Schizosaccharomyces pombe: one gene and its partners. The protein of the gene in region 2 interacts with the protein of the main gene of each other region in a biochemical or structural test. Each region holds a gene or a part of one and is shown on either strand. Other genes may lie near its edges.

Region 1 (11,473 bases), on a different chromosome or scaffold from region 2:
AGGTCAACAGTTGAAAATAGGAGCAATAAATAATTAAACAACAAGGACTGTTTAAACGAATGATTAAAAAAGATTAATAAATAAAGATGACAATAGAATAAAATTTTTGGTGGAGATTTCAAACAAACATCAACATTTTAGTCGATCTAAATAAAGCGATTGGGCATTCCTTTTACAATTGGTGCGACGCTTATCCAAATTTGTTCTCTGTTAGCTTCATAAAAATGAAGTTAAGTAATAAAAAGCTCCCCTTAATGAATCGTTATCCCAACATGTCTCTTTTCAAATAAAAATGCTGACATTTAGCAAAAAAGGATAGTCAAAAATGAACAACGTTTTGCAACGTAAGTTCAGTACTTCTAAGCACTTGGAAAAACAAGTGATTGTATTTGCTGTCAGTTTTTTGGAAATTTAGCCTTTTTAACGACAAGCGGTATGCGTAATAATACAGATAACTGTGTCACCAATATATTTTGAAGCAGCTTCAAAAAATACAGGCACACAAATTTTTAACTTCTTTCAGACAAATCGTCAATGTATGTAATGTACAGATATACTGTTCTAAAAATCCATCCTAGAAAGAACAATGGAGCAACTATTGTTTTTGGCGGTCATTTTCAACTAGATTTGAAGCATTAGACCCGTTAGTTAGTTCTGCAAGTAGTGACTTAGCACTCTTTGGTTCAGTGTGGCCTTTACGGCGTGTTCTAGGAATTGCAGGTTTTTGCAAACGCTCAGCAGCTTTCAGTTTGGCACGTAAAACCTCCTCATCAGGATTTGCCGAAGAAGTTAATAGTTGGGAATGTCCTTCCATTTTTTCAAGAATCATTTTGGCCTTATCTACAACATCATCCCCTTGAGCTCCGGGCTCAAGTGTAGCAACGCCTTCATCGGAATAAACAGTAACAGTCCTTTTAGGGACATTTTGTATACGAGATCGTAATTCTGACATTACAGTTATATATGGATCTTTTTCTTCAGCATAATCTGGTTTTTCAAGGTCTTCCATTTTATCAAGATCTTCCATTTCGTTATCATCTCCGGTCTTAGCATCACCTTCTATTTTACTGGCATCTTCCATTTTTTCATCAATTGTTTCTAAGGAATTTTTATCCTTGGAGGCCGTATCTTGTTTATCATCAGAGTCTTCTGGTAACTCTCTTTTATTTCTGTATTTTGCTACAATGGATGTCTTTTGGCGACCACGAATCAGTTTGTCACGATCCTCCGACATGATTCGTCTTTTCTCCTTCTCAAAACGTTCCTCATTCTCTGCTTTGGCGATGGAATACATTTCATAAAAAGAATTCAGGTTTTTGAAGAAAGAGTTTCTAACCTTATCAATGGAGTCATATTCACAAAGATACTTCACAGTGTTTTCAAGTTTAGTGAGCATATCAGTTTTAAGCTTTTTAATATTCCTAATCCTTTCTTTAGCCTCAGGCAACCATTCGGAAAGAATATCGTACGCCTTATCATCTGGATGATGCTGGTCGCATTTCGATAGAGCACCGTCTTTGAGAGACGTTTGAAAGTCGCAGAATTCATCATAAGCACCATCTACACCCGCAACCATAGCATCTATATTGTATCCGGAAACACTCTGAATTTTTTTAAACGTGGATTCCGCCTGCAATAATTCAGGGAAACGAGTTCGTATAATCTCATCAAAGTAGTGCATCAAAGTTAGAGCTGAGGAACTATCTCGTAAAGTTTCAAGGCGATATATCATATACAAGGAAAATGCAGATGCTCGATCATAAGGTTCATTAAAATAGTTGCCAATAATCAGTAAGACTTGAAAGAATTCAGCAAAATTTTTATCCTCCATAATACTGTCCGAAGTGTCAATGACTTCTTTCATACGAACTTCAAGTATTTCCAAATCACCAAACAACGTCGAGCGAAATTTTAGAGCTTTCATCCTTTCTTGGAAATAGTGCCGAAGGTTAACGACGAACAATACAAAAAATTTCTCAAAATAAGATAAACTGTTCACATCCGCCGTTGGTTCTTTTGGATTTTTCTTTGTGTAATCCGTACTATAAGGAATGAATGGATCGGTATAGGCATTGGTAGATGCAAGGCTAGCGCGGTCAAAGTATAAAATTGAGGCCGGTAAAAAGTCGGGTTCGACTAAAAACTTTTGAACTAAGTCCTCCACTGGCATATTAGATACAGACCGCAAAATAATAGCCATATTTTGTTCAACTGTATCAGGTAAAAGAGAAGATCGTTGGTCAGAAATTTCCACTGCAACAAAATCTTCCCTAGGAGTGTTATCAAATTTCTCATCCAAAAAATCGAGAAGCCCATTATCTATAAAAACTTTAGCGGTAATGTCAAAATTTAAGCAGAACTTTGTGAAAACATTTGGTCCAGGCAGTGGATCAACCCGTTGCCAATGGACGCGCTTCAAAGGACGAGTTGGCTTGTGAAGATCACGAAGACTAGGGATACTTGTATACTTTTCTATGGCTGCTCTCGCTGCATCATCAGCAGCTTTACGCTGTTTTCTGGCCTCTTCAAGTTGAATCTTTTGTTCTTCTGTTAAGCTGGTTTCGTCAATCTTAGGCTCTGGCTCCGCCTGCGGTGCTGGAGCATAATATCGGCTTCCACCAGCAGAAACAGCAGGGGGTGGAGGTGGTGGAGGTGGAGGTCCGGCTCCTGCTACACCAGGTGGAGGAGGAGGTGGTGGAGGTCCACCCATAATAGGAGCTGGAGGAGGAACTGGAATAGGAGCTGGAGCTGGTGTTGGAACTATTACAGCAGGAGGTGGTGGGGGAGGAGATTTAAGTAATAACTTTTGCTGCTCTTCTACGGTGTCGGAAACATCTGGTAGCAATGGCGAAGGCGAGGAAGATATTTCACTTCCGGAGAAAGATTCGTCCAAATCTTCAGTTTTGGATGGTGTATGTACACGAACAGGAATTCCACTTCCACTTAAAATATTTGGCTCAACATGATAAGAAAACTGTTCGGTCATCGCATCTAGAGAATCTTGAGAAAGGTTTCTTCTATGAACACTGTCAAAACTTTTTGAAACCTTATTAAGTAAGCCCGGTTGTAAGTGCTGCTCATTTGAATTCTGCACGTGTTCCATTTGGGATTGCAACTTATTGTATGCTTGAATTTGAGCTCTATAACGCGTTTCAAATTCGCGCTGCATGGATGCGAGGAGATTGTCTCTAAGATTTAATTCAGCTTTCAATTCATCCAATTGTTTCTTCAGAAACTGCATAGGGTCGCGGGGCCCAACGTTCAATTGGGAAAGCATAGATTCAACTTGTTCTTTCAGATGCTTGTTTTCAAGCATGGCTCCATTATACTTTGTCTTGTACTCTGCAATCTCCTCTGCGGTACCAAGTTTGTCTAAAAGTCTTTGAGATAGGATCGTTAGACCGACATTAGTATCTGCTTTGGCAGTTTTGAAACCTTCCAGTGCCTCAAGCGTGTGAGTCAATAACTGCATACTTTTTTGAATTTTTCCGTTGTCGGGTTCAGTCACAAAATACTCGAGTAGTTTAATGAAACTTTCTTTAGACCCCTCACTTCCCGTAAAGCGAGTATAAATTCTTTGAAAAACATCCCAAACAGCCTGTTGTTCCGGAGTTGTGGGTCGATTATTAGATACAGGAGTAGAGGTCTTTCGAGTAGTATTTCCATGAGGTGTATGTGATTCTTCTCTATAGTTCATCTGTTTCTTTACGCATTTCCTATCTACATTATTCACATCACTACCACTTCGGAAACGCCGAGCATCTGCATTATGCTCTTTGATTAGTAATTGCAGAGCATCACGGACGTGTCTGTTTCTCCATTTTAACAAAGAGTCGATGGCCTTTTGAAGACCAGCAGATAACAATTCATGCCTTAGAGCACACCTAAGTTGCAAATCCGGTGGAGCAGCACATAAATCTCGAATGAGAGCTAAAGTTGCAACAAGGTAATCAATCAAGCAGTCCGTATCTTCAAATTCGTCCATGTGAACAATCGCTTGAGGAGATGAATCAGCACAAACTCGGACACCAGTAATCACATCATTAAAGGAATGCATCCATGCGCTAAACCGAGTTTTTGATAACTTTTGCTCGACGAGCCATTCGAAAGCCCTGATTACAGCTTTGAAGTAACTCAACCCCTTTTTATTACAAAGGAATTTAAGGAGAAAAGTAGCCATGCGAGCTGAATTTAAACTTTTTGAAAGCACAGTCTCAGCAATAGTACCTAGAGCATTAAATCCTGGAACAGAGCATTTAGCTGAAGACTGATAACGACGACGGCAGTTTTCGCTGTTCAAACAGTGAAATAATGACTGTATTATTTGGGATTCAAGAGGTGTTTTAGATGCACGTTCAGGATAGTGACCCAGGTTTCTTAAAGCAGACAGTAAACTTTCAATACCATTTCTTTCAGCAAATTCATCCATCCACCAAATTGGTTGAATACGTAATTGAACGTTTAATAGCGATAAAAAATGGTAAGTAGGTGGGACTTCAACGACTTTTTCAATGAAAAAGTCTATCCTTTTTAAAATTCGATTATAAGTTGCTTCATCTAAAACAGTATGTTGGTTAGTAAGAGGAGCATCATCGTCATAAAAAGTGTAGCGCTTGGTTCGCTCGTTGGTAATCTCTTTAACAATGGTAGGTTTTGGAAATACACGGGATTCTAAAGGATAAATTTTACGTAACTGCTCAGTTTCGGATAAAAGTTTATCATTTATTTTTGTCTTTTGGTGATAAACAGTGTTGTAGCACATAACATATTCGGGGTCATTATTGTCATCGGAAGTAAGAGAGAGATCTTCTCGCGACTCAAAATCATTAGTACTTTGTAATTTAGAAAGATCTGAATTTTCAGATAGGGAAATCGTAGAGGGTGTTCCAATACGTTCGTTGGAAGAGGTAGAGTAACTGGAATTTCGAGATTGAATAGAACGACTAGTAGGGGGAGACCCTTCAGGCATTTTAGATGCCATTATGAATTAACATACCAAACTGGTAATTTGGTTGTAAAAAAGATACTAACGAAGCTGATTAAGGAATAAATGGTAAGGAAGAAAGCAATCTTTGGTGAAAGAGAAAATATATCGTAATGCAGAGCTTAAAGCTCCGCGGTAATGTCAACCAGATTTTAAAATCGTTTGGATGATTATATTAAAAAGTTGAAAGGAACGCAGGTATCAGATGTGATGCGAAAGTACAGCTTTTTAGAAAAAGGGGTAATCACTGTATATTGTATAACAATAAGCAAATACTGAAGGTTAAAATCAATTAAAGTTAATAATATTAGCCTTATTGCAATAAAATGCTTGATAAATATGCAAATTTAACGTTTCGAAGAGCGTTGGTAAAGGATGAATTTATGTCGCCCAAACCATGTTATTATATAGCAACCTCAACACCAGCAAAACAAAAACCTTATTTCTTCGAGATAAAGGACACAAACAACTTTTTTCAAGCTAAATTTTTAAAAATAACTCAAAAATTGTAAACAATTTGACTGCGCTCCATTCTTGTGAGGTGTATAACTGGTTACGTTTGTTTGTTTACTTGAAAATAGCTCATTTCTAAATACTTCAAAAATTGCGAAACTTTAGCTTAATTTCATTTATTGTAGACATCGACTTGAAGTAAATAAACAAAACTCGTACAATGGAGTATTTTTTTTTGCTTTTTTGAACATTTGTTACGAGCACCTTTAAGTCTCTCAATTCCGTTTACCGTGTCACTATTCATAAGGGGATATGGAATGCTACCATTTTCTAAACATCTGTTCTGTTAATTTGAAATTCATTTAACCCGGGATTTATATTTCTCCTTTCTTAGCATCTCAAATTCTGAATGACGAGTCGTACGAATGAGTTTTTTGGATTAACAAAAAATGGCGACATTGATGCAGCAAACATTCCTTTGAAAAGAATAAGTTATACGGATCCTTTTTTGGCTGAAGGATATAGAATTGTAAGTTTGAGGACGAGTTTTCTGTAATTATTGAACCAATCGGAAATTTAACCTCAACTCAATTGATCACTGTGGAGATGCGCTACCATAATATACGATTAATTATTGAGTGGGATTGGTTTAAATTTTTGACAGTATTAACTTTTGTTATTGCTTTCTATATCTAATCAGAGAGTTCAAATTGCTAACGTTAGCAGCATGAAACGATTGTTAATCTTCTAGTATTTTTGAAAAAGATTCGTGGAGCTTATTTAAAGGACAGAACATTTTCAAATGTCCAAAGACTCTCAAAACCTTTAATGGAGTGTTCACTTGAGGAGCTTTCAAAGCTTGAGCTAGATGAGGTTCAAAGGGATGAAATAGAACATGAAGTCTCTTCGGCAATCAGTAGCTGTATTCATCAAATAGCTAAGTTGCAGGAGATTGTGAAAGGTAAGCTTAAAATTTTAATACTGGTAAAATTATGTTTACTTAAATTATAAACAAAACACAGGGACATGCTTGCTAATTGCATGAGTAGAACAACAAAGTCAAATCCCTAAAAAAAGTGGTTGGCTGCAAGGTTTAAGAGACCCTAGTAAATTATCGAAAAAGGAAACTTTAGTCGCCCACCATTCATCTGTTCTGTGGTATCTGCAGTCTGAACTTTCCGATGTTTCTTCTGTTCTATATCATTTACAAGATCTGAGATTAAAACGAGGTCAGGAAAAGCGAAACATTGCTTCAGACTTTTTAACAAAAAATCCTACTGATGAAAATTCAGCTGTTGAGATCCCTGAATCTGAATTACAAACATTTTTTACTCAACAGCAACTTCAAGAACTTGAGCAAGAGAACGATGTTTTACTCCAAGAATTTGAACATACTATGGAACGTTTACGTGATACAGGGAAATCTTTGGCTGATATTACTAGACTTCAGTCGGAAATATCCGCTCAACTATCTATTCAATCAAGTGCGGCTGAAAAACTTTATGATGATGCCCTTAATGTCATGGATTCGCTGTCTGGGGGTAATCAACAACTAATCAAGGCCAAATCTAGAAGTAGTCGGACCGCTCGTCTGCTTTTTTGCATCTTTACCGTTATGGGACTTTTATTGCTATCCTTGGATCGTATTGTTTAATTCTCTTCATTCTTCTGAAACTTTATATTGTAACAATAATGACAAAGGAATGAAACTCGTTCTTCTTTGATCATGTGAAGTTCATGTCTATAATCTCATGTAAATATAATGTTTATGCTTATTCTTTCGACCATTCCTTGCACGCCCAAATAAAAATTCCTTATAATTCATCTTGGGTACGTTAGTTTTCCAAAAATTTTCTGGCCATTTACTATGAAATAGATTATGGTAAAATTGTAGCTTGAAAAATCTAGTATGATCGAATGTTTATAGAAGTTCACAATCAGTCTCGATTAATTCAAAGTCAAATTTGTTTGTTAAACATTCAGCTATATAATTTAGATTGATGCATTGGACATTAGCAAATTAACTAAATGCTTAGTCAAAAGGGATGTATTGGAAGAATATATTCTTACCCTGCCAAATAACAGAAACGATAAAAAAAAACCCACAAATAAAAACAGTAAGTGGGTTCTTTTCATTCGTGAAATCATTGTCGCGCTTACATTTCTTTTTTACAACCTCTGTAGCTAAATTCAAATTTTAAGTAAAGATCGTCGTCAATCACTACTCTAGTAAAATTTCTCAAACGAGATTTTATTTTCGTATTTAGAGTAAAATAATCTTGAGTTTTTAAATATATCTTCAACAATTATTTCTCTTACTTTGCAAGAGTCGACAACCAGCAATGATGCGCTTCAACTTAATAATAGCAATCAACTTCACCCTTCTCTCTATCAGCATTTAGCTTCTTCTTTCTAAATCAATTAACATAAAACAAGCTGAAGTATTACAATTTTATAGCAAAATTGGCCTCAGTAAGCCAGAAACTTAGGTTTTCTTCCTTGACAATGGAAACAAAAATTCAAACAGTTGATACTCGCCTTATCTCTTTTGAAAAGCCTAGTAATGATTCGGAACATCCTTTTGAACACACAAGGGTGTCCATACCTCCCTCAGAAACTCGTTCTGCATTAGAGAACGCCGCGAATATATTGAGAAACACCGATTATCCAGTTGCTTTTCCTACCGAAACAGTTTACGGTCTCGGTGCTGATGCCCGAAGGACTGAAGCAGTCTTGTCAATATACAAAGCAAAGAACCGCCCTGCTGATAACCCTTTGATTGTACATGTTGCTTCTCTGGATCAGCTACGTAGATTGCTGTTGAGTGCATATCCTAAAGCAAAGTCAGAAGTAAAAAATCAAGCACATGACTCAGAGGAGATTATTCCAAAAGTTTATTTACCGTTGATTAAAAAGTTTTGGCCTGGTCCACTCTCAATTTTGCTGCCAGTTGTTGACGAGGCTAATCCCCCGGTCTCACCAATTGTGACAGCAGGACAAAAAACGTTTGCTGTTCGCATGCCTCAACATCCTGTTGCGCTTGCCCTTATTTCTATTTCAGATTCGCCGTTAGCTGCACCATCGGCTAATGCTTCAACAAGGCCATCTCCTACGTTAGCTAAGCACGTTTACAATGATTTACAAGGTAAAATTCCTTTAATTTTAGATGGGGGAGCATGCGGTGTTGGTGTGGAGAGTACAGTTGTAAATGGACTTTGTGATCCTCCCGTAATTTTACGGCCAGGAGGCATAAGTTTAGAAGAAATTCAAAGCTCTGGAGGGGCCTGGGAGCGAACAAAAGTATTCGTAGCTAAAAAAAGTGATATGGAAACAGATTTCATCCCTCAAACTCCTGGTATGAAATACAGACACTACTCTCCAACTGCCAAAGTGCTACTTTTTGTCAATTACACAGAATCTGATGCATACGGTGTTTTTGAAAAGTATTTATCTGAGCAGGGAATCACTAAGGAAAAGCAGAAGATTGGTGTTTTATGTAGTAAACGTTGGAACGAAGAGTCATTCCCTTCTCACTGTCCGTTTGTATTTTTGCATATGGGAAGGGATGGACATGAAATTACAAAGAATTTATTCGCTCAATTGCGAGATTTGGATCTGCAGGGAGTTGATTTTGTTTTGGTTGAAGGTGTCTCCGAGGAAAATGAAGGGCTAGCTATCATGAATCGTTTGGGCAAAGCTGCTTCTGTGGTTTTTGAGGGGCCTTCTCATTAGTTAAAATATTTATAGCTAAGGGGTCTTAGCTTTACTTGTATAGAGGTGTAATTACTTATCGAGCTATCTGTTTATTATTTTGATAAATTGTCTATAAAAGAATTATTTATATCATATTCATTAACTTATGGCTGACTATAATTAATTTGAGAGTAAAATATAAAAAAAAGCTGCAAATCGTAGTATAAATAAGATGCTTTATGTTAAGTTCGTATAACCCTTAAAATTCGCATGTTTCAACCTATTTCTTATTCCGGGAGTCATGATGTACAATAGTTGTTAATCTAATAACGCCAATACTTTAAATCTTTTCTTTATCGGTTATTCTTTCGATACTTCCTCATCACAATGAACTTGAAATTTCCCAAGAGGGTCCAATTTTCTTGGAGATTTCAAAGGCAACTTTTCGCCTACCCAAGAAGTAGCCGATATGTTGTTTTCTTTACGCCTTTGATCAACTGTACCAAGAGTTTGCCAGGTCCCAGGTTGGCCATCCTTTCCAGAACCATCCGCATCTGAATAAACAGAAAATTTAAATTTAGGTTTAGAAATTTTAGTCCTAGACTGGGATATTTCCTGGATATTTGTTGACTCAAATGTCGTTTGTAAAGGATTAACCGAATTTGTATTTGAAGAGAATGATTGTGGGGCAAATTCCAACCAACGGTGAGTAAATTGCTGATACTTTTGCTGAAATCTCAAAAATGGCTTAGCCTTCATTCTTTTTCCTTTCTGATAAACTTCGTCAGCTTTTTGAAACAATCCCCTAGACTCGAAATAATTTGCGTATTCCTCATAAAAAATCGAGGACTCCTGTCCAATATGATGATGTGCCAAGAAAGAAAATAATTCAACCGGTTCGTCTATATAGTTTACATATTGCATCCATATTCGTAAATACCGAACATCATCTTTATAAAGCGGATTTCGTACGAATTCTCGAGTACACCTTTCTAACAATGTTACCAGTCCACTAGTTTTTGTTTCACCTTGAGGGAAATTATCCAAGGTCCATTTAATATAATCGATCCAAACTTGTAGTGGATCATCAAGAGACTCGCTCGTCTCTATTTTTCGTTCATGGCCCATCCTTTCTTTTTGCAGACCAGCAACTTCTTTTTCGGTGTGGTTTCGCGACGAAGATTTTGCAAGTGCAGAAGCTGAATGACCAGCTTTTCTAGGCTCTATGTTTTCCTTGGACTGCTCAATGACATCCATATGCACCCAGTTCTTGCCAGCATCTAATGGTTCCATTTGTAGTCAATGTCTTCCAAAAAATTAGTAAACCTTTTCTAGAGAACCCTATACCTTCCACTAAATGAAAATAAATAAAACAAAGAAGGAGATGTGAGTGTAGTAGTATTGGAAAGTTTATTTAGACAAGTACAATTCTATTGAAAGAACGAAAATAGCCAGTATATAGTTTAATAGAAGGTGTACTGAAAGCTTTTGTATAAAATTAAAAGTGTCAACACTCAAAGAGCAAGAGTAGGAATGTATGAAAGATTGTGCGTAAATTAGAAGGTAAGTGCCAACTTGACGCTGGGGGAGGGTATCATACTTACGCCTGGAAGAGTCCAATGAAAGAGATAAGAAGTTTTTTCTGTTTCTTCGAATATACAGAAACAGAAGAAGAATTAAAATTAACCACTTCACATACTAATGGCTTGTATTATTAAATCATGTAAAACACAACCTACAAAACAACTAATAAAAATAAACAAAATGAAGATTTATAAACAACGATTTACAAGAGTTTATTCAAAAATTAATTTTCTATTTTCATAGCTGGTAAGACACATGAAACTGAGACTGAAGAATGAGCGACTTAAAAAGCTACTGTAAACAAGCAGATATTGGCTTGACCTGCAATAGAAATTTAGAGTTGTGTAGTCATTGCGAAAATGGGAGATTTCTGCATAATTTAACACTTGCATACTAAAAAATAAGTCTGCAAAATATCCTTGTAACAGAAACCAAAAAAAAAAAAAATCTAGTATAAAAAAATAAGAAATCAATAAGTTCGGTATGATAGTTTCGTAAAGTAAAACACAAAGAAATCAAGAGAGTATATCAAGCACATAAGAGTAGACATAATAAGGAACTAGCGAGGGAACGACAAAATTTATTGAGGGTAGTAGAAAAAGGCGAGAACAACAATCGCATACAAAGCAAGTAATTGAACACCTTCAAGCCAATGAGTAGCACCATCTTGTATCAAGTAATTAACCAAGAAAACAGACACAAATAGAATAACTGTTTCCAATGATTCAAAGTAAAGTGTTAAAGGTTGGGAGATGATCC
Region 2 (9,419 bases):
GCGCTCCAGGTTCCTAATCTCTCAGTAAGGTCTAGATCTATAAAATCAAGCAAGCCAAGTTCAAATCGAAAATGCTTCTGCAGTTGCAATCTATGTTTCTTAATAAACATTTGGTTGGCATGAAAGACTGGAAGGACGGCGGAGTCAAAATTATCTTTTACATCTTTTTGAATACATAAGACAGCTTCTTCGGTCCTCTTTCGAGCATAATCTTCTGACTCCAACAATTTTTCTTCTAAATATTGTTGCATGGCGTCTCTTACGGATATCGCATACTGGTAGGCAAAGAAAAAACCAGAATACTTGACAGAAGCAAAAGAACCTAATGAGTCAATAGCATCTTCTAATTCGGAATGTGTATGCTGAGAAATAGATTGCACAGTCGCTTCAACTAAAGATTCATTCTTCTGATAGGTAAATTGCTGCTCATGTTTTACCTTACGAAATTTTGGAGAAAGATCCGTCAAACGTTGTTGCAAGTGATTAATATCAAAATCGATAAGTTTTATGTTATATTCGCAGATATTAAGTATATCACCGACTAACCCTGACAAGTATCTACGTACCGGGGCAAGTTTAGATTTTGAGCGATTTTCGAGAATGAAGCTACGGAGAGAGTTTTCCATCTGAAAAAAAGAAGAATATAGAGCATCCTCTCGATTATTTGGATCACGAGCGACACGACAGCTCACAAAATGTACCAAGTCTTTAGCGTCAGCAAAAGTACCAGGAGAAAGGGTATGAATTTGTTCAAGGATCAATCGTTTACATCTCTCTTTATCTCTGATGTTATCAAATTTGTTCACAATAATGAAAATGTGGGATTTCTCAGTGGAGGCGTTTCTTAAGAAATCTGTAGCAGAAAGGGTAAAATGATTTTCAGCGTTTACAACGAAAACGACAACGTCAATTTCCTCTTGGCAAGCAAATACTGAAGTTGTCTTCATGGAATCAGTATTCAAGCCAGGAGCATCAATAAGTGCAATATCTGTAATTCCATTGTGAAGCAAACTCTCATGTGCCGGTCTTCCATCATTGACATATACAATTAGCATGCTCCAATTTTCCGTCTCATAAACAAGGCGTTTCAAATCCTCGATTGGAAAAACTTTATATGTTGAAGAGTCAGTATGACTATACGTGAGTCCATGAGGAATAGCGTGAACACAATCTTTTCCATCATTGAGTTCAGCATCGTGCACTTCACAAAATACCTCAGTACAAGGTTGTTGATCTTCTGGTAGAATGTCTTTGTGTACCAAAGCATTGCAAAGGGTCGATTTACCTGCGTTTAAATCCCCGGTGATAAGGATTTTCGAAGAGGTATCTTCTACTCTAGAAAAAAGTGAAAAGAGATGCTTATTTGCTTTCTCTATGTGTACTTTTAGTAGAGATTCATGAGCTTCCTCGCCCAATTGACTGATTAATTTTTCATCAGCAGTCGACGACGACCGCAGTGATAGATCAATGGTGATCACATTCATTTTGGACGGACTAAATGGATAGTAATTTCCTGAAAATTTAGATTTTTCTTTATCGGTTCTCCAAACACTGTGGAACAAACAGTCAGATCGATCTACATAATTATCCAGTTCATTTAACAGATTTTGAATAATATGGATGGATCTTAACAATTGGTTCCTATTTTGGTTATACTCGAACTGATGACGATTAGTTTCATCTTTATACTGCTGAATATTGTTTGAAGTATATCCATTATTTAATCTTCCCGATTCACCATTCTGTTCGGCTACTGATAATTGCCTTGCACTCTTCTCCATATCATTTAAAGTTGAATTTTGCGTTTATATAATTGAACTTGATCCCTAAAGATTGGAAATTTCATGCAAAGAGCAACTTCCTTAAAAATTAATACATATGCGTTGCAACCATATACTGTTTGCATAACACCTTAGTACGAATAATGAAAAAAAATGGGAGCAACATATTAGTAGATGAATATGAGAAAATAAAGACATCATCTTTCTACATATAAAGCTTTAAAAAAGAAATTTCTATTATATCCTTGAGCACAACAATTCAAAAATTTACATTTGTATCATCATAAATAAGACGTAGGAACGAAATTTCAAGTATACCGTATACTGTTGACATCGACGACGTTTGATATCTGTTTTAGCGATACATAAATCATATAGCGTTGTGCGTTATGTTAACTGACAATATTATATTTATTGTTATAAGACGCCTAACAGTATCAGTCACCGATTTAGCTAATAATTGAACTGAGGAATGAGATGCAGCGACTAATTCCATTTATAATCTTCTAAGTCTTTGTTCTTAACTGATGTCTATATTAAAAAACATGATTTTACAAATATGAAATTAGTGACACGCAACGTAGCGAACCAATTTTAACAGTATGCTGTATAAGGAAAACTAAGTTGGGGTGAATAAAAAGGGCAGTGACAAAATAAATGTGTCAGAAGTAATTCACTGCCTCGTTCAGTTTTTTCGTTCTTCTTTTTTTATGCCATTGTTTGAAGGAATTAGTTGGAAATTTGTTTGAACGATTTTATTATTTTGTTAAAAAGTCTTTAAAGCGATTGGAATTGGACTACAAAGTGAATATTCTTGATTTCGCTGTTTGGTTTGTCGCAATCATAGCAATTAATTCGCGCATGTATTTTATTAAATAAAGAATGATTTTATTATTATGAAGAATAATTACACTTCTTTGAAAAGTCCTCTAGATGAAGAAGATGAATTGAAGACAGATCATGAAATCGATTTGGAAAAAGGACCCCTCCCAGAATATGATTCAGAGGAGGAAAGTACATTGCCTCCATATTCAGGTAAGAATTGTAAATAATAAGAAAGGAATTACTCAATTGAAAGTTGAAACTTGCCAGTGCTGTAAAATAACTTGGATGTGATCATTGTTTACAGTTGGCATATCCAACACTTGATCAGAAAGATGGGTAAATTTAATATGATATCTTTTTAATTGTGTATGCTAATTATCATTAGGTTATGAGGCCAAACAGCAAGTGAATGAATACACAGCTGTTCCATTGCGTGAGATGAACCCCGAAAGTGAAGCCTAATTATATTGTTAACTTTACTAATTGTATGATAAAGTCGCTTTTTACACGAGGCTTCTTTTCTTCATAAGAATGTGCAATAAAGAAGCGCCTTTATGATTGTGATTTACTCAAACAAATCATAAATCTGTTTAAAGTATGTCACATGTATTTTTATTGCATATTTCATTTCCTGACGAATTGGATGAGCAAGTGCATTGCTTGAAAGGTTCCGTGAATAACATACACTGGGCATTGAATATTATAATAATGGTTTTATTTATTCGTTTTAAAATAGCAGTTCACTAATTGACTGTTATCATCAACTAATGAAATCGAAAAACTCGTTGTTTCGCCTTGTTAAATTCACAATTTCATTGTCGTTTATTGCATTCATTTCTTCTTCATCTTGATTCTTAATGAATCAAACTTAATTATCATTTTTTTCCTTTGGTTTAGTGGTTTACTTTAATACAAACAAAATTAATGTTTACAAAATAATGAACAGCATAATAAAATATTGTGATTTAGAACGATGATTTGTTATCGTAATAATGTAGTTATTGTCTAATGTGAGAATCCACTGTAACGATTAACAGATTTCCTCTAATTTTTTAAGCTACTTATTACTTTCTGTTGCAAGTAAAAAATCATGAATTTTAAGGCTCAGTGTATAAGGGTTTGCATATAATTCAGTTCTCGTTTTGTGCTGCATATTTAATTTTTTGAGTAGTCAAAAAAATTAGCACAAGTTGTAAACTTCACATTGTCCACTCGTGGTGGCGTGTTAAAAAATTACTTGATGTTTTAAACTAATACTTCTTATTTCGCATTCATAAAAAACAATGTTGAGAATAATCATGTATGGTGGTTGTACAAATGAAAACGGGTCAATTCAAAATGCATTTCATATCCGTCTCATTCTAAATTTTTCGTTATTTAGTCGCTTCGAATTATTGACTTTGTTTACTGTACGAACTGTTTTCTTTATTTAGCGCATATTGAAGATATTTGCATACTTTTTAGGAACTTTGTTTCTTCCTACAAACTCAATTCGTTACAGAAATAACATTGCTTTGTCTTTCCAATTAATAACAAGTCGTAAATTTGTAAAGGAATAAAAATTTTATTGTTCATTCTTACTTTTCCATGTTCCTTTACATATCTTCGTGCAATTACTAAAAGAATATTAAAAGTCAAATTTGAAAATTTCGCCCTTCAATTATGATGATGGTGAGAAATTGGTAGTCAAGATGCTAATTATCATCTAATTTAGCGTGAAAATTACCAGTGAAAAAACATAAATTATTTATTATGAGACAATCAATATGCCTATCGCTTACAAAATATACATTTAAATACACCGTTGGTTTGATGATGAATCCGATACCTTAAAAGTAGAAGCAGATGATATTCTCATATTAATGATTAATGAACATGTTCATCGTTTGTTAATATCTCATTTTTTTCGTTTAAAAGAGAAGAGAAATATTTTTTAATAAGAATCGCTATAAATCGTGCTAATTTTGTTTTTTAATACCCTATTGAATTTGATTCATCATGCCACATAAGTAAAGTACACTGGCTTATTTTTACGGATGCATAAAATCTATCATACCCTCAAAGCCTACTACTATCTGCTTGAGTAGTTTACATTTTCACTGCTCGCATTACTGTACAAAAAATATGATGCAGCGATACTATAATTTGAAATGGCATATAAGATAATTACTAGCTCATTTAATACTTCGGTAGATTTTACTTAAACACATTTATTTTATAGCGCTCAATAATCCGAATCATACCCGCACATTGAATTTTAGACCTTTATACAACTATGGTATGCTGTTAGTTATTAAAAAATATTATTAACAAGAAAAAAAAGTCAAACATAAAGACATTAACAAACAAATTTTTGAAACAGTTTAATCAAACAGAAAACTGATTTATAACGAGTGTAAATAGTTTGATAAAGGGGAAAAACATGGTATAACTTTTAAATTAATCAAAGATTTCAGCGATTCGTATTTAAGAGGGAGGCCATCTCATCTGATAAACCCTTCAATACGTTAGCAAAAATATCATCCAAGTCCGAGGACACCGATTCACCCTCGATATTACGAGAAACTCGGCGGGATGCCCTTACTCCCGCTGATTTTACACTCCAATATAGCCCGCTAAGAGAGTCTGGATCCAATATAAACTCTCTCAACCGACGATTAAATTCTTTGTTTTTAGTACTAACGTGGTCGTTATCGTACGCATGGATATCAGAAGCATGAGCCGAATCAACGAATGGCACCGAAGAGGAGTTATTATTTAATTCCGCAACCACAGATTGCTTGAATGGATTTTCATCATATTGCAAAGAAGCAGGAGAAGTGATAAGAGAGGAAAAGGAACTAGAAGAGGTAGATTCCTCTGTGTTCTTTCTTGGTAGCAAATCCTCATCGTGTGAAATCGAAGAGCTCGGGATTGCACTTGAAGCATCTAACTCAGGTGTAGGTATAACCATTTCCTCATTACACTCCAATGGAGCCGGGGATTCGTGTAGTAGCTCACGCATTTCGCTTAATTCATCTGCTAAACTTGTAAATCCACCCGCAAAACTTCTTCTGTTTATTTCGTTATTTACATGATGGTTACTCAATGTTGATAAATCTATTGAAGATTGAGAAAATGCTTTACGCTCCGCTGTTATGTATACAGAAGACGTTGTGCACTGTGCATCACTTTGCGAGGAAGAATCAACAGGTAAAGACATCTGACGAAGAAGCGAACTTGGTGATAATTCAACCTTATCTGCTTGCTTTCGGTTTTCGCTGTCTTCTTCGTCATCCTTTTGGAATCCTTTTGTTGGAGAGGATGGAGTAGATGAAGAGTATAATCGAGGGGAAAGAAGCTTTTCAGATGGCATTTCAATCGATACCGAATGTCGAATAGGGTACACTTCTAATTGTTTTAAGGATTGAACTGATAAATTATTGGGCATTTGACCAGAAATTGGTTCCTTTTCTACATCGTTTGGGGCATCCTGAGTAACATTAGATGTGTCAAAAGAGTCACTCTGAGAAACTATAATTGATTTTGGTGCATTCAATGAGATTTCCTTGTTATCACGAGATACATCATGAGTAAAGTTAGAGGATTCCGATACGGCGGAATAAGAAGAAGGCCGCAATGATTTATCAGTATTAGATGTAGACGAATAAGAAGAAAATGAAGCATTCGATTGCATTGCGTCAACTGATAGTGATCTTCGCAATGGAGAATCAACGGTTGCAGATGAAGCAGTTTTATGCTTATTTGCTATCCAAGTACTGTAAAGTGAAGGATCAGACTGGGTGGCATTGCCATATAATTCCTTGTTTCCTGCTATTGAGATATTTATTTTACTAATATTCGAATTTTCAGCATCTGGGTAAGCTGATGAGAATTTAGAGTAGGGGGAATGTGAATTTTTCGAATCTGCAGTAGTGGAAGAGCCATTAATTTCTGTTTCAACAATCTCAAGACCAAGGGGGGATGTACTTTGAAAAGAAGTAGAGTTAAACTGGTTAAACCCACCTTCCAGTTCAGTAAGATCCACGTAAGCAGGACTATCAGTTACATGATCCTCGGATTCGGAACGGTACTCAGCAGAGAGAGAAGAATCACTACTGTCCGAAAATTCTATTTCAAGACCATTCTCTGCGACAGTTCGGTTTACCATTGCCTCATAATCATTTTCAGAATCCATTTCATCATCGGAAGAATTAGAAGAACAAGTAAAGGTAACGCGTTTTATACGAAAATTTGGGGATGGAGCCTCCAAGGTTTTTTCCACAATATCTAAAGGCGGGAGAGTCACAGACTGCTGAGAATTGGACGTTTCCGAATTTTTATATTTATTTAATCGAGCCAAACGCTCTGAAGGAGTTTCAATGTATTCAGCAGGTAAATAGCCTATAGCCAAATTTTTGCACATTTTTACAAGCCACCAATAACTATTAGAATCATCTAATAAAATCATCATGTCTCCTTTAGTAGCATCAACTTGTCCTTCAACAGTAGCTTCGAAGCCTCGAATGGCATGAACAAAGTTGCAATCAATAACCTCTTCGTGAATAGATGGGGAAGAACTCAATTCTGCCTCATATAAAGCGTATTCTTCCTCTTCGTCCATAAAATCATCCTCATCTTCAGAGCGAAACTCATCATCTTCCACTACTTCATTATATTCAGTCCCACAATCCTCAAATTGAGACGATGTTAATGTAGTGTCTTCTTCTTGAGAATCGCTAATTTCTTGCGACGCTACAGTTTGGGGTTCACTATTTTCTCCTGATATAATCCTTTGTATCTCGAATGACTGCTCCAGATATTCTTCCGGAGAGTAACGACTTTCTATTATAGTGCTATCATTCTGTTGTGTCGGGTCAAAATGACTTTCCATAATTTCCATGCTGTCAGCACTACTGGCACTATTCATGTGTAACATATTGAAACAATGTAGTTAGCTCTCATGAACTTGAACAAATGTGCAAAAACAGCAAACACACTTTTCAGGTCTCAAAAACCGCTACTCCTAATGATAAAAACAAACACGTTGCAAAGGGATAAGAAACTCTCAACCTCATACAATTTATAACTGGTAAAAATTCAGGATACTGGCTAAAACGCTAGTGAAAACGGAAATACCGATCCTGATGAACATACACTCAAGTTGGGTTGATTAGAACGTCAATCGTAACAACGAATCCAGCAAAATCTTTTTGAAAATAAAACGATCTTGCTCTTCAAAATGTTAACATTCCAATAACTAGTGTAAAAATATAATATATTAACAAACTAAGTCGCCTCTAAATATTGCGGTAAGATATGCGTACTTGATGCTACGTAAATCCGAGATTGGCAGATAACGTAACAGTAAAACGTCGTTTAACCGATACAACGAATAAAAGCGAGTACGGTATTTGCATTTAAACAAAAAGCTTCTTGATCATTTTATTCTATTTTGATTTTTTTTTTTATGTTATTTCTAATTAGATTGTCAAATTTAATTATTTATAAATGTTTGAATTGCATCTAAGTATCAAAAACAACCTCAGTAAGCTGTGACGCTTTAGTTCTCTTAAAGCCAACGAGTTAGCTATATGATGCATATCTAAAATAATTGAAAAAAAGGTTTTACTTAGCATGCTTTGTAATATTAATTCAGGACATAAAGTTCGATGTAAAGGGTATAGAAAATGTCCCTGTTTTTATTCGAAAACAGTAAACCGACATAATCGTCTGGATGTTATAAAGTTGATGTTAATTGTTAATGTGTATACATTCAATGCTCGTAATATTTCGAATGAAGAAGAATCAATTAGTATTCAACACAAAAATAAGGTAGCCTAGAAAGATAGACGCTAGCCTTTCTTTTGTTTAGCATTGCACATCTTAGCTTAGCTCTTGTCGAGAGGGTCCAGCTCGGCTGTGGTCTAAAGCAGCAAACTCCAAATTTTCTTTCTTCCATCTCCACTTCTTCAATAAGGGCTCCTCTAACTCACGAAACATACACCCTATGCTATACTTCCCGAGGATTGGAAAGAATTTGAATCCATGGCCTGAACCACCTGTGCATACAAACAGATTTTCATAATCTGGATGATAATCAAATACAAACTCGGCATCGGCTGTGTCGGTATAATAACAAATACGGGTTTTGTAAAATGGCCTTTGACTAATTTCTTCGCCATAAGTACGTTGAAGGTTTCTGCGTAAATCTAATTCCGCTTCCTTGGGCAGGATAGGAGAAACGAGAGGTTTCTTTGGTGGAACAGATTCGACTTTTCCGGATTTAAGATTTTGCATTCTCGTAAATCCGTATCCATGGCGTGCAAATTTTAGATAACCATCGGGGGTAGGGGGAAAAATATAAAATCCAGTATCAAAATCTAAGTATACAGGATTTGTCAAAAAGCGGATGTACTCCTCAGGAGTCAATTTTATGTATGCGACTGGTTGACCGGTTGCCAAGAATCGTGTGTGGTCATTAGGTAAAAGAGATGCAGTCCATGCACCTGTAGCAAAAATAAGTTTTTCGGCCATGTAAGCTCCAGTAGTAGTCCTCACGCCTTTAACAACGTTTTCTTCTGTTATAAGCTCTTCAACAGTTCCCTCAGGTCCGCTAATGAAAGAAACACCGGCATGTGCTAAGTAATTAACTACGGATTTCACAGACTGCTCAGCGTTGGCCCATCCAGAACTAAAATTGGCATACCCAGCTTCTCCATCATTCAGCTCGCCAATCCATTTTGGAAAAAGTTTCCGCAATTCTTCTGTAGTTTGAAACTTTGCTGCTGACACACCCATTTTTGTCAGGTTTTCCAGACTCATGTCCCGATA
Region 3 (10,517 bases), 2.1 Mb from region 2:
TCATGAAAAAAAAGATAAAAAGCCGGAAAAGCGAAAAAAAGATCAAAAAGAAGCTAGTGAAAAAAAGAAAAAGGGAAAACGTACTTCCCCTACTATTGAAATGACTTCACTAGGATCAAAGGTGACTTCTAAAAACTATAATGAATTCTCTACATTAGAAGAAGAGGATGAACACAATTCTCATGGTGTGGACGTCTCTGCTTGGGCACACTTTTCACTTTCACCGGAAATGCTTGGCTCGTTATCTAAAGCTGGCTTTTCAAAACCGATGCCAATTCAATCATTGGTAATTCCTGAAGCTTCTATTGGATTTGATATCATTGGAAAGGCAGATACCGGTTCAGGAAAAACTTTAGCTTTTGGCATTCCCATTTTAGAGCATTGTCTTCGCAATGTAGATGCAAAATACGTACAGGCTCTAGTTGTTGCTCCTACCAGAGAACTTGCTCATCAAATTTGCCAACACTTTGAACTTATCAAGCCAAGTCCTAACATTCGTGTTATGTCTATAACCGGTGGATTAGCAGTACAGAAGCAGCAGAGGCTTCTTAACAAGCACCCTCACGTTGTGGTTGCAACTCCGGGTCGCTTGTGGTCTGTCATCAACGAGAACAACCTTACAGGAAACTTTAAGAAAATCAAGTGTTTGGTATTAGATGAAGCAGATCGTTTACTGCAAAAAAGTCATTTTGAAGAATTGAGCAAACTACTTGAAATTTTAGGAAATCCCATGCATACTCAGCGTCAGACTTTTATCTTTTCTGCAACTTTCGATGAGGGTTTACAGCAACGCCTTAAAAAGAATATGAAAGGCAATATAACTGAGAAATACAACAGCCCGATGGGTATGTTCAATTAGAAATATTTTACTTTCTCACTTACTAACGACTGCATAGAAAATATGTTGAAGGAGGTTCGTTTCTTTGGCAAACCCAAATTTTTGGATGCCAATCCTCAAAGTGCAGTGGCAAGCCGCGTATTAGAAGGGCTCATAGAGTGTGCTCCAGCTGAAAAAGACTTGTATCTTTATTATTTGATCATGCGTTATCCTGGAAAAACCATGGTTTTTGCCAATGGTATTGAGGATATTAAGAGAATCACTCCTTTTCTAAATGAGTTAAAAGTTCCATCCTATCCTCTACATGCTCAATTAGATCAGAAAAAAAGACTTCAATCTCTTGAAAAGTAAGTTATTTTTATTTATATGTTACTAACTAACAAGGTTCAAAAATAATCCTAAAGGAGTCCTTGTTTGCACTGATGTGGCCGCCCGTGGTATTGATATTCCTAGTGTTACGCACGTAATTCATTATCATGTTCCTCATACAGCTGATATGTATGTTCATAGAAGCGGTCGTACCGCTCGCGCTAACGAAGATGGCGTTTCAATTTTAATGTGTGGTCCTAAAGAACTGTCACAGCTGAAACGACTATGTTATCGGTTGAAAAAGAAAATCGAGACCTTTATTAATTTTCCTGTGGATATGTCAATATTGGACATTTTAAAAACGAGGGTCGTCTTAGCACATAAAATTGTAAATCTCACTAGAAAAGACGGAAGAGTGGGACGTGAGGAAGCTTGGTTAAAATCGATGGCTCAGGAATTGGGAGTTGAAAGTTCTGATGATGAGGATCCGGATTTGCCAAAAAAATCTGAATCTAGTAAGAATAAGAAACAGATAGCGCATCTTCGCTCAGAGCTTGCTCCCTTATTACACGAAAAAATAAGAACAGGATTTTCTGGTAGATACTTGACGAGCGGTCTTGTAAATATGGCTGAAAAATTAGCCAACGAAGAAGTTCATGATAATATTATCGGAATGGACTCAATTAGTGCTTTGGAAGTTCTGCAAAAAAGGAAGAAGTAAAAAAGGGTTTTTACTTAGCTACTTTTCATATAGCACGGGTTTTCATTTAGGTTTTTATACAATGGTTTTTTGGTATTTTATAGTTATGGGTTAATAATAATATTACTGCTAGATAAGTATCAACAAAAACGTCGTATTAGACTATATAAGTGAACGAATTACTATAAGATATATCATTAATTATAGTAGCCTTATGTATCTGGCTTAAACATAAGCGAACGAGGGTGCATTTACACGTTGACTTTACATGCCTCTGGCATCTGTTTGCTTTCACAGGCAAGAGCATTAGAGGTCTAGTTTCTCGTCTCTAAAAAAGCTCAACGTCTAATATAGTTCAACCTGAAGCGGTCTTAGTATTAAAAACCATAAACACTAATTAGGTGGTCATAACGTAAAATGAAGTGAAATAAATAATTTCAAAAAAGTATGCAGCTTTAATAGTCAATCACAATTTTAATTCGTTAAGAATACGACTAGCCAATGTCTTATATTGCCATGAGTTTCCACTAATTCGATGAAAAGAAACGCCACGAAGAGAGAGTATAGGGACTTTCACAATATATATTTCAAAGGCAAGGTTAGAGGCAGGCGACTCACCATTGTCATCTAATGGGACTGTGTCCGGCACCGATCCATAAGAATCAGTGGTAGAATTAGAGCCATAAGAAGGCTTACGTCGTGTATGAACAGAAGTCGATTTTGTAGGGGTTCGGATACCCTGAGGTTTATATAGACATGCATAACCACCCTTGATCTCTTTATACTCAATATCAAGCATGCCCATTACCCGAATAAGATCTCGTTGAATTGACTCAGTACTTTTAGTCGATGTAGTGGAAACACTGAACAAGCCTTTAAGGAAAACAGGCTTTATAGGATCCAATTTATCCGTAGATTTGGATGGGGAAGTAGAGTTCTTGTCCACCGGATTGCCCATCGTTTCATTAAGGATTTGCTTTTGGCGGTTGGTCGTAGAAGTTGACATCCGCCCATGCCCCAAGGAAGCACCACGAGGATTAAGTACACGATTATTACGAACCGACGGAGGTGCATTTGCCATATTGGATGCAGAGGGCCCTGTTGAATCCATGTTTAGTGAATCCATCTGACTGGAGATACCAGCATAGCGGCCCTCACGAACAGAGGTTGATCTTCCAATAGCAGATTGGGTAACAAGTTTATTCTTGTAAGATACTGGGGGCTTGTGAGACGGCTTGGTTCGAGGTGTTGGTGGAGATTGTGAGGTCTCAAGGGGAGCACTAATTTGAAGAGTAGATGTAGAAGACTTATTTTGTTTTCGGCGTGATGAAAACCTTCTAAAAATGCTGGATGGATTCTTTTTGATGGAGGAGGTTGCTGAAGGAGAAGGGGAGTGAGATTCCGTATCAGGCAAAGGCTTTCTGCGTGCAAGTGATGTGTTTCGAGAAACACGAGGTGATTCTTCGTCGCCTTTGTAGGCAACAACTTCCGGCATTGGCGGTAAAGTACGATTATAACTAGTTGGCTGAACTGGCGAAGAAGGAACGCTAGAAACTGGTGTTTTTGCTATCCTATTCCAATTTCCACCTTTTTCATATACACGACGTTCAGAAACTAAATAATAAATTGAAATGAGAGGATGAAACGCATCATAAATATCAGTGTTCATTGAAAGAGATGGTAATATTGGATTCTCGATATCATGCGCAGCATGCCTAATCCGGAATTCAAAGAAAGACTTTTTCTTGTCAGCTGAATTAGGCCCGGAATAAAATCCAGTTTTAGCTAAAGATTGATAAGCTTCACTGCTAATTACCTTAGTTAATTCACGAACAATTTTTTCTGGTGGTCCAAAATCAAAACCGTTCATTTCCCTAATAATTTCAGGATCTAATGGAAGAGTGATCGGAGATCTTTCCGGAGCAAACGAAGCTGGAGGTCCTTCATAATTGCGAATCATCCAAGGATGGTTCAAAACTTCTTCAAGCGTGGCTCGCTTGAGAGGATCAGTAACCAACATTCTTGATAGTAAACCTTTACAATCACTACTTAAATAACTTGGATACTCGACGGTACCTTTTTTTATTTTCGCATGCAAGGCAGACATATTTTGATCATCAAATGGCACTTTTCCGCAAACAAGAACGTAAAGTACTATTCCAAAACTCCAAACGTCTACCTCTGGACCAATGTACGGTTGAGCATTCAAAAGTTCTGGAGCAGCAAAATATAATGAACCACAAAACGTGCGCAAGCGAGACTGACGTCGATACAAATTTGAAAGACCAAAATCGATAATTTTGATGTCACCGGTCTTCGAAATTAAAATATTTTCAATTTTTAGATCTCTGTGCACCACAGAGTTTTGATGCAAATAACTCAGCGCACTTCCAATTTGACGCACAAATTTTCGAGCTTGCTTTTCTTTTAATTTTCCATGTGAAATAATATAATCCAGCATTTGACCACCGTCGACAAATTCAAAGACCATATAATAATGACTATTAGTAATATAAACATCTCTTGCCTCGCAAATATACGGATGACGGAGCAAAGTAGATAAGGCAGCTTCGCGAACAGTACGAATTTCCTTGTTTTTTTCTGATTGTGCTGCCTTAGTAGCCTCAGCAGAAGCAGCAGCTTTTGCCTTCGTTATGTCTGGATGAAGACGGGTAACTATTTTAATGGCAAACTGTTCACCTGTTTTTAAATGATGCGCAACTTTAACTTTCCCCATGCTACCAGCCCCAATGGTTTTACCTAGTACATAATTGCCTATGACTTTTCTTCTTTCACGAGGCTTCTCGTCAGCGCTATAAGAATGCCCAGATACAGGTACTCGCAGGCTATGATCCCGCGTACGAGAAGGAGATGCTGGTAGCGGTTTTCGACTTGATGGAGACCTTACGGGGCCATGATGTGGAGACTGAGAAGAAGGAGAAATATACCCAGGAGAAAAAGATAAACCCAGAGGCTCTACAGCGGATTTTGGTTGTGTAGAATAAGAAGGAGATTGCATAAAAGCATCCACCAGGTTGTGATGACGGTTGGGCGAGTCAGATATTTTAATTTTCGGCAACGCATTTAAAGCGGCAGACTTTGTCTCATTACCGACGGGTACGTTATTGGTACGGTACTCCATCAGGAAATGGGATCAACAGACAAAAAAGCAGATATAAAATTACTGCTTGAACTTTTGAGAGGCAAAAATTAGCAATCAACTCAAAATAAGCCGACTGAGTAATGTAATAAAATAATAACTTTGTGAAAATAATACAAACGTGTAAATCTTGGTTGACAAAAAATACTTTGTTATCGTAAATCGTGGCACCAGTTTCCTTGCGAACCTAAGATGACAAATATTACGAAAAAGCGTGAAATCCGAAAAATTAAAAAGAAAACAATAAAGGGACGAAGAAATTCTTGTACGAGATGAAAACAAATAAGCAAAGCGATCTAGTTACAAGAATGCTCGTGGCTTAGAAACGGATTAGTAGTCAATCAATATTGTTTGTGAAAAGAAGGATGCTCACAAGCCGATAAAGCCGTTTCTACAATCAAAACAAATAAGCAAAGCTTGAAAAGATAACAAATGAGATTATTAGAGCAGCAGGAAGATGGAAGAAGAACAGGTAAACCGGCTTAGCTTTTTCGATGAACAAGATAAACGACCAAAAAATATAGTTGTTTCGATAATTTTCGGTCGTAAAAACTCTTGTTTGAGAAATTCTAGTATAAACAGGTCTCCTGTTTCTTTTATTGAGCAACAGAAAGTCAAACGACTTTGAGATTTTCCCGCAATTTGTTTCCTGTCTAACAACCACTGCAAATCTATGCTACGTCCCCTAAGGCATTCAATATCTCTTCAATTCTTTCCTTTCAATTAAATTATTACAAAAAAAGGAAATGAAGCCAGAAACTGTAAAGGAAGGATTCCCTAACCCAAATGCACTGGCTTTGTTGTTGTACGGAATGGTTAAAGCAGCAGTGGAGATGTCATGGATGAATGCACCATGCTAAAGCATTCATTACGTTTAGTATCGATTTATATAGAGATAAGACTTCAAAATAGCCTACCAGTTACTATTTTCTTAAACTTTTATTTTTTTAATCTATTTCATGTATTTATCGACTTGTATTTTCCTTTCCCACACACCCTTTTAAAAGATCACGACTGCTATATACCGAGGCGCAAGCATGCTCCTTTATGGTTATGAGAAAAACATGGTATCTAAAAATGGATTTAGTATGCAGCAAACGACTCAATTGAAATTGTATACTTAAATCTTTTAAATATATGCGTATTCAAAAATACAATGAATAAATCACCATCACAGTTTCCTCATAAATGAACAAATACGCGTGTGTTTTTACATTATTCATACATCTGAATTATCGTGCCAAGTCAAAACTTTTTAAATTAACGAAATATTAAAGTTACTCTAGAGTTTTGTTTTAAGTATTTTTCATGTCTCTTAAGCTTATGAAATTTATTTCGATGGAACAATCAATTAATTTTCTTAACGACTAAAATTAGTCATCGACCATGACGGTACTCTTAATTCATTGATTGTTTTTTTGTTTTTTTAGTCACAATTTAAAAAAAAACAAAAACTGGTTTCTGTCTCTGATGTGGAGTAGAGAAATGGTCTTTTTTACTACATTTATTGCTTGTTATAATCATTAAATACACTTCGCATTGAAAAGTTGCATTGCACACAAACAATGCTTTCGAGCAATTAAACCAATTCATATACAATTTTACTGCAACATCCATAGTTGCTCAGAAAGCTGCCATGTTTAAATATAGGGAAGTCTAACATTACTCGTTAGGTGACTTTCGAAATATCATCCTTATTTACTACGATTGAGTTGGCGGTTGTTGTCATTTCACATTTACGGAATTTTGTAGATAAACTTTCTGACGGTAACTAATAAACCAAAAATACATCTATTTACTTTGGTTCCCGGTAACTAAAGGATTTAAGGACTGGAGTAATCTTTTTCTATAAGTAATAGAGCAAAAAGTCCCTGGTCTTAACCAAATAATCCTTTCTTTCAATTTCTGTTTCTCTCTCTTTTTTTTGGCATACTTTCACAATATTCATTTATCTATTTTTAAACGAAGTAAAGAAAAATGAAGTTTTGCTCCCTGTTTCATGTATTATCGTTTTGTTGTACATTGGCTTACGCCGTCCCTAAATCTCAGTTTTTGCAACTTCATTCACTAAGTAACGCCATTCCCGTTGAATGGAAATGGTACGGTAGTGTGGATGAAGATTCAGGTTACGTTTACTTAACCAGCAAAGACAGTAATGAAGCACGCTCTGGATCCCTTTGGTCAACTAGCGTTTTACGACAAGTTGGCTGGCAGCTATCGACTTCATTTGTAGCTCATGTATCAGAGAACGAAAACACCTTTTTTGCGATTTGGTATACAAGCGCTGTCGGTTCAGAAGGTCCAGTTTTTGGCGCCTCCGATAAGTGGGACGGCCTTCTGATTTCCCAGGAAATCGATCAAACTGGTAAAATCTTTGTTCGTGGCTATTTGAATGATAAAAGTTTTGAACTTGCTCAGTTTACTGACCCCGATCTTCCGCCCTTTGCTAAATGTACCATTGAGAGCTCTCCTGAGGCTTTGAACAATATTATTCTCAAATACGGTGACCAATCTGGATTAGAGTTATTTGTGAATGACAAGCCCTGCTTTCAAGTAAAAGATGTCATTTTGCCTCAGGGGTATTATTTTGGAGTTTCCTCTCAATCTACGTCTGCAAAAGACTTGGTGGCTTTATCGAACCTCAATATACTTCCTCCAGATACATCTAATAATGAAAATTTGAATCCTACCTCCAATACAAAGCAAAGCGTCGGTGACAATACTAGTCCTCAAACAGTTATTGACACTGAAGGTTTGAACGCAATAAAGGCTGATTTGGCAAAGCTTTTTAATCTAGTAGAATCTCAACGCCAGAAGATGGACTCTTTGCATTTTGCGTTGACTAATGCTTTGGAGCGTTTGAACGATATTTCTTCTACTTCACAGTTCCCAAGTGAAAGATTTAATGCCCTTGAAAAATTGCTACATGATTCTCTATCTGCGCAATCTTCCACTGCAGATGGTACTTCTAAACATTTAGCAGAATTTGAAAAGGAGATAAAAAAGGCAATGGGAAATGCTTACTCGCCATATAACTTGACAAACTTTATGGTTTTCTTGTTATTGGGTGCAATTGTATCCTATGGTATAATGTTGGTTCGTCGTGATCGCAGAAGACATAAATACTTATAGATTCGATTGGGGTGATTTGCCATTAATTTTCAGAAACGGTATAGGCGTGTAAAACGCGCAGTTATGAAGTGGTGTTTTTATACAAAGAATTGCTCATCTGTTTGTGTTTTGACGATTATCCTTTCTTTTGACCGTGGTTGTCCTGTCTTTTCATCATCAAAATTTTTAGTCATACGAAATGCATATTTGAATCATTACTTGCTATTATCTTAACCATCTTATAAATAATATATAATTTTCATATCTTAAGATATACACTTACCTAAAATGGGGGTCCTCTAGTTCCATAACTTAACATCACTATATCTGTTTACAAATTTCCTGTTTTTAAATGTTTTACTAATGCCAATAGGCACGAATCAATTCAATCTCCTCCTACTACACTTCTTAGCAGAAATATGCAGGGTAAAAAAATTATATATTTGTACCGAGACTAGAAAGTACATGATGCAATTTCGGAGCTCAAAAGTGAATTATTAAACTAGTTTTTAAGCTAAAGGAAGCCAATGCGGTTGGCTACATCAAGGGCATCGGCATCGGCAGAAAGCTTGACAAATGCCTTTTTGGTACCATTGGGACGAATTAAAGTGTTAATTTTAACAGCATCAACACTGTAAAGTTTCTTGACAGCATTTTTAATAGTAAACTTATTAGCCTTCAAATGCACATGAAAGACGAGAGTATTGTCATCCTCAATCTTCTTCATAGCAGATTCCGAGTTAATTGGGTTGACAATAATTTTGTATTCATCAAGACGGGAGGCATGGGGAACACTCTTACGAGCATATTTGGGCTTACGGGCAAGCTCGAGGGTTTTGGGGCTAAAACAATTAGTACGAAAAAAAATTTAACTTATTTTTTTATAATCACGTTAATATTCTATAAACTTCGGTATGCATAAGAATTGCAAGCCTATAATGAATTTTCAAGTAATCAATTGGAATAGGTTCTAATTATTCACTTTATCTTTAGAATCTCTTGCCCTAATCATTTAAAATGGTCACTATTCGGCCTGGTTTCACGCCATTCTTAACAATTCTTGGAAAGCTACAGCGAAGCATAGCAAACGATGCAAACAAGTAAACTTACCGACGGAAGGTGGTAGAAGTACGAACCTTACGAGCAACCTTATTGTGAATCCCCTTTTGAACAGTTTTTTGAGCTCCTTTTGCTTTACCAACGCTCATCTTGACTCTATAGTGTAAAAGGCTTCGCTGTGTCTGAAGTACTTCAAAGTTTCCCTAACATTTGAGGCAGTCACTAAACCTACCCTAAGGGTATCTGTTTACCGAAGGAAGCAGGTTTAATGATCTCGTACGCAGATCTCCGATCGTTATCGTTATCGCCACCATCATGTCGAATAGCGAGACAGCATATATGGAAGTTTTTTGTGTTCAGGTAATTTGTCCTTCTCCACAACATCCTGTTTACGTGCTTTTTGGCGGGTAACGATCAAAGAAATCAAATTTTCTTTGTATTTTGTTAAGTGAGATTCATCAATTGGTATTATTATCATTGCAACGGCCTATTTGAAAGACGATCTAAGATTGTTTTGATTATTTCCCTTACGAAATTTTCTATAAACGTTAAGTTTATCAATTTGACTTTTGAATAGTCCTCAAACGAATTAGTTAGTTCGTCTCATTTTGTCCAAAAATCGCTACAGTCTCCATGAAATCTACTTTTGAGGCTGCTGGCCGCGTTGCCAAAGGGATGCTCAAGGATCCCTCCAAAAAGTATAAGCCATTTAAAGGAATTCAACTACCCAACCGTCAATGGCCAAACAAGGTTTTGACGAAAGCTCCACGCTGGCTTTCTACGGACTTGCGTGATGGTAATCAGGCTTTACCCGATCCTATGAATGGGCAGGAGAAATTGAGATATTTTAAATTGCTTTGCAGTATTGGCTTCAAAGAAATTGAGGTTGGTTTCCCAAGTGCTTCTCAAACTGATTTTGCATTTGTTCGTCATCTGATTGAAACGCCAGGTTTGATTCCTGACGATGTTACTATTTCTGCCCTTACTCCTTCTCGTGAGCCTTTGATCCTACGTACGATTGAGGCTCTTCGAGGCGCTAAGAATGCCACTGTTCACTTGTATAATGCCTGTTCTCCTCTTTTCCGTGAAGTTGTCTTCCGCAACAGTAAGCAAGAAACATTGGATTTAGCCATCAAAGGCTCAAAAATCGTAACAGCTGCTACGAAAAATGCTCTTGAATCGAAGGAAACCAACTGGGGATTTGAATATTCTCCTGAAACTTTTTCAGACACCGAACCAGACTTTGCTTTGGAAGTTTGTGAAGCTGTCAAGGGTATGTGGAAACCTTCTGCTGCCCAACCTATTATCTTCAATCTTCCTGCCACTGTCGAAATGTCTAC

Evidence for each region.
Region 1: the proteins of tea4 (region 2) and for3 form a complex in vitro, tested with the Schizosaccharomyces pombe proteins (one study listed by BioGRID).
Region 3: of the proteins of tea4 (region 2) and kin1, one has a biochemical effect on the other in vitro, tested with the Schizosaccharomyces pombe proteins (one study listed by BioGRID).

What each region holds. Positions count from the first base shown.
Region 1 is NC_003421.2:996,638-1,008,110, reverse strand, and holds for3 (formin For3), read right to left. Parts: upstream 5,362-11,473; 5' UTR 4,982-5,361; coding exon 596-4,981; downstream 1-595. Other genes in the region: SNARE protein Ufe1, read left to right, coding at 5,847-5,966, 6,164-6,398, 6,487-7,091; SUA5/yciO/yrdC family protein Sua5, read left to right, coding at 7,943-9,169; mitotic spindle checkpoint protein Mad3, read right to left, coding at 9,491-10,423; vcx1 (CaCA proton/calcium exchanger), read right to left, coding at 11,295-11,473. UniProt on the Schizosaccharomyces pombe protein: Involved in controlling polarized cell growth. Required for interphase actin cable formation and microtubule organization.
Region 2 is NC_003423.3:586,834-596,252, reverse strand, and holds tea4 (tip elongation aberrant protein Tea4), read right to left. Parts: upstream 7,895-9,419; 5' UTR 7,525-7,894; coding exon 5,059-7,524; 3' UTR 4,819-5,058; downstream 1-4,818. Other genes in the region: dynamin-like GTPase fzo1, read right to left, coding at 1-1,781; fap1 (L-pipecolate oxidase), read right to left, coding at 8,472-9,419. UniProt on the Schizosaccharomyces pombe protein: Cell polarity factor essential for the bipolar localization and function of structures containing the cell-end marker tea1 during the normal cell cycle.
Region 3 is NC_003423.3:2,689,640-2,700,156, reverse strand, and holds kin1 (MARK/PAR-1 kinase Kin1), read right to left. Parts: upstream 5,826-10,517; 5' UTR 4,990-5,825; coding exon 2,314-4,989; 3' UTR 2,029-2,313; downstream 1-2,028. Other genes in the region: ATP-dependent RNA helicase Mak5, read left to right, coding at 1-845, 897-1,185, 1,223-1,868; emp46 (lectin family glycoprotein receptor), read left to right, coding at 6,985-8,139; rpl2502 (60S ribosomal protein uL23), read right to left, coding at 8,633-8,960, 9,229-9,326; 2-isopropylmalate synthase Leu3, read left to right, coding at 9,811-10,517. UniProt on the Schizosaccharomyces pombe protein: Has a role in establishing the characteristic rod cell shape. Important for cell polarity and is involved in directing growth to the cell ends.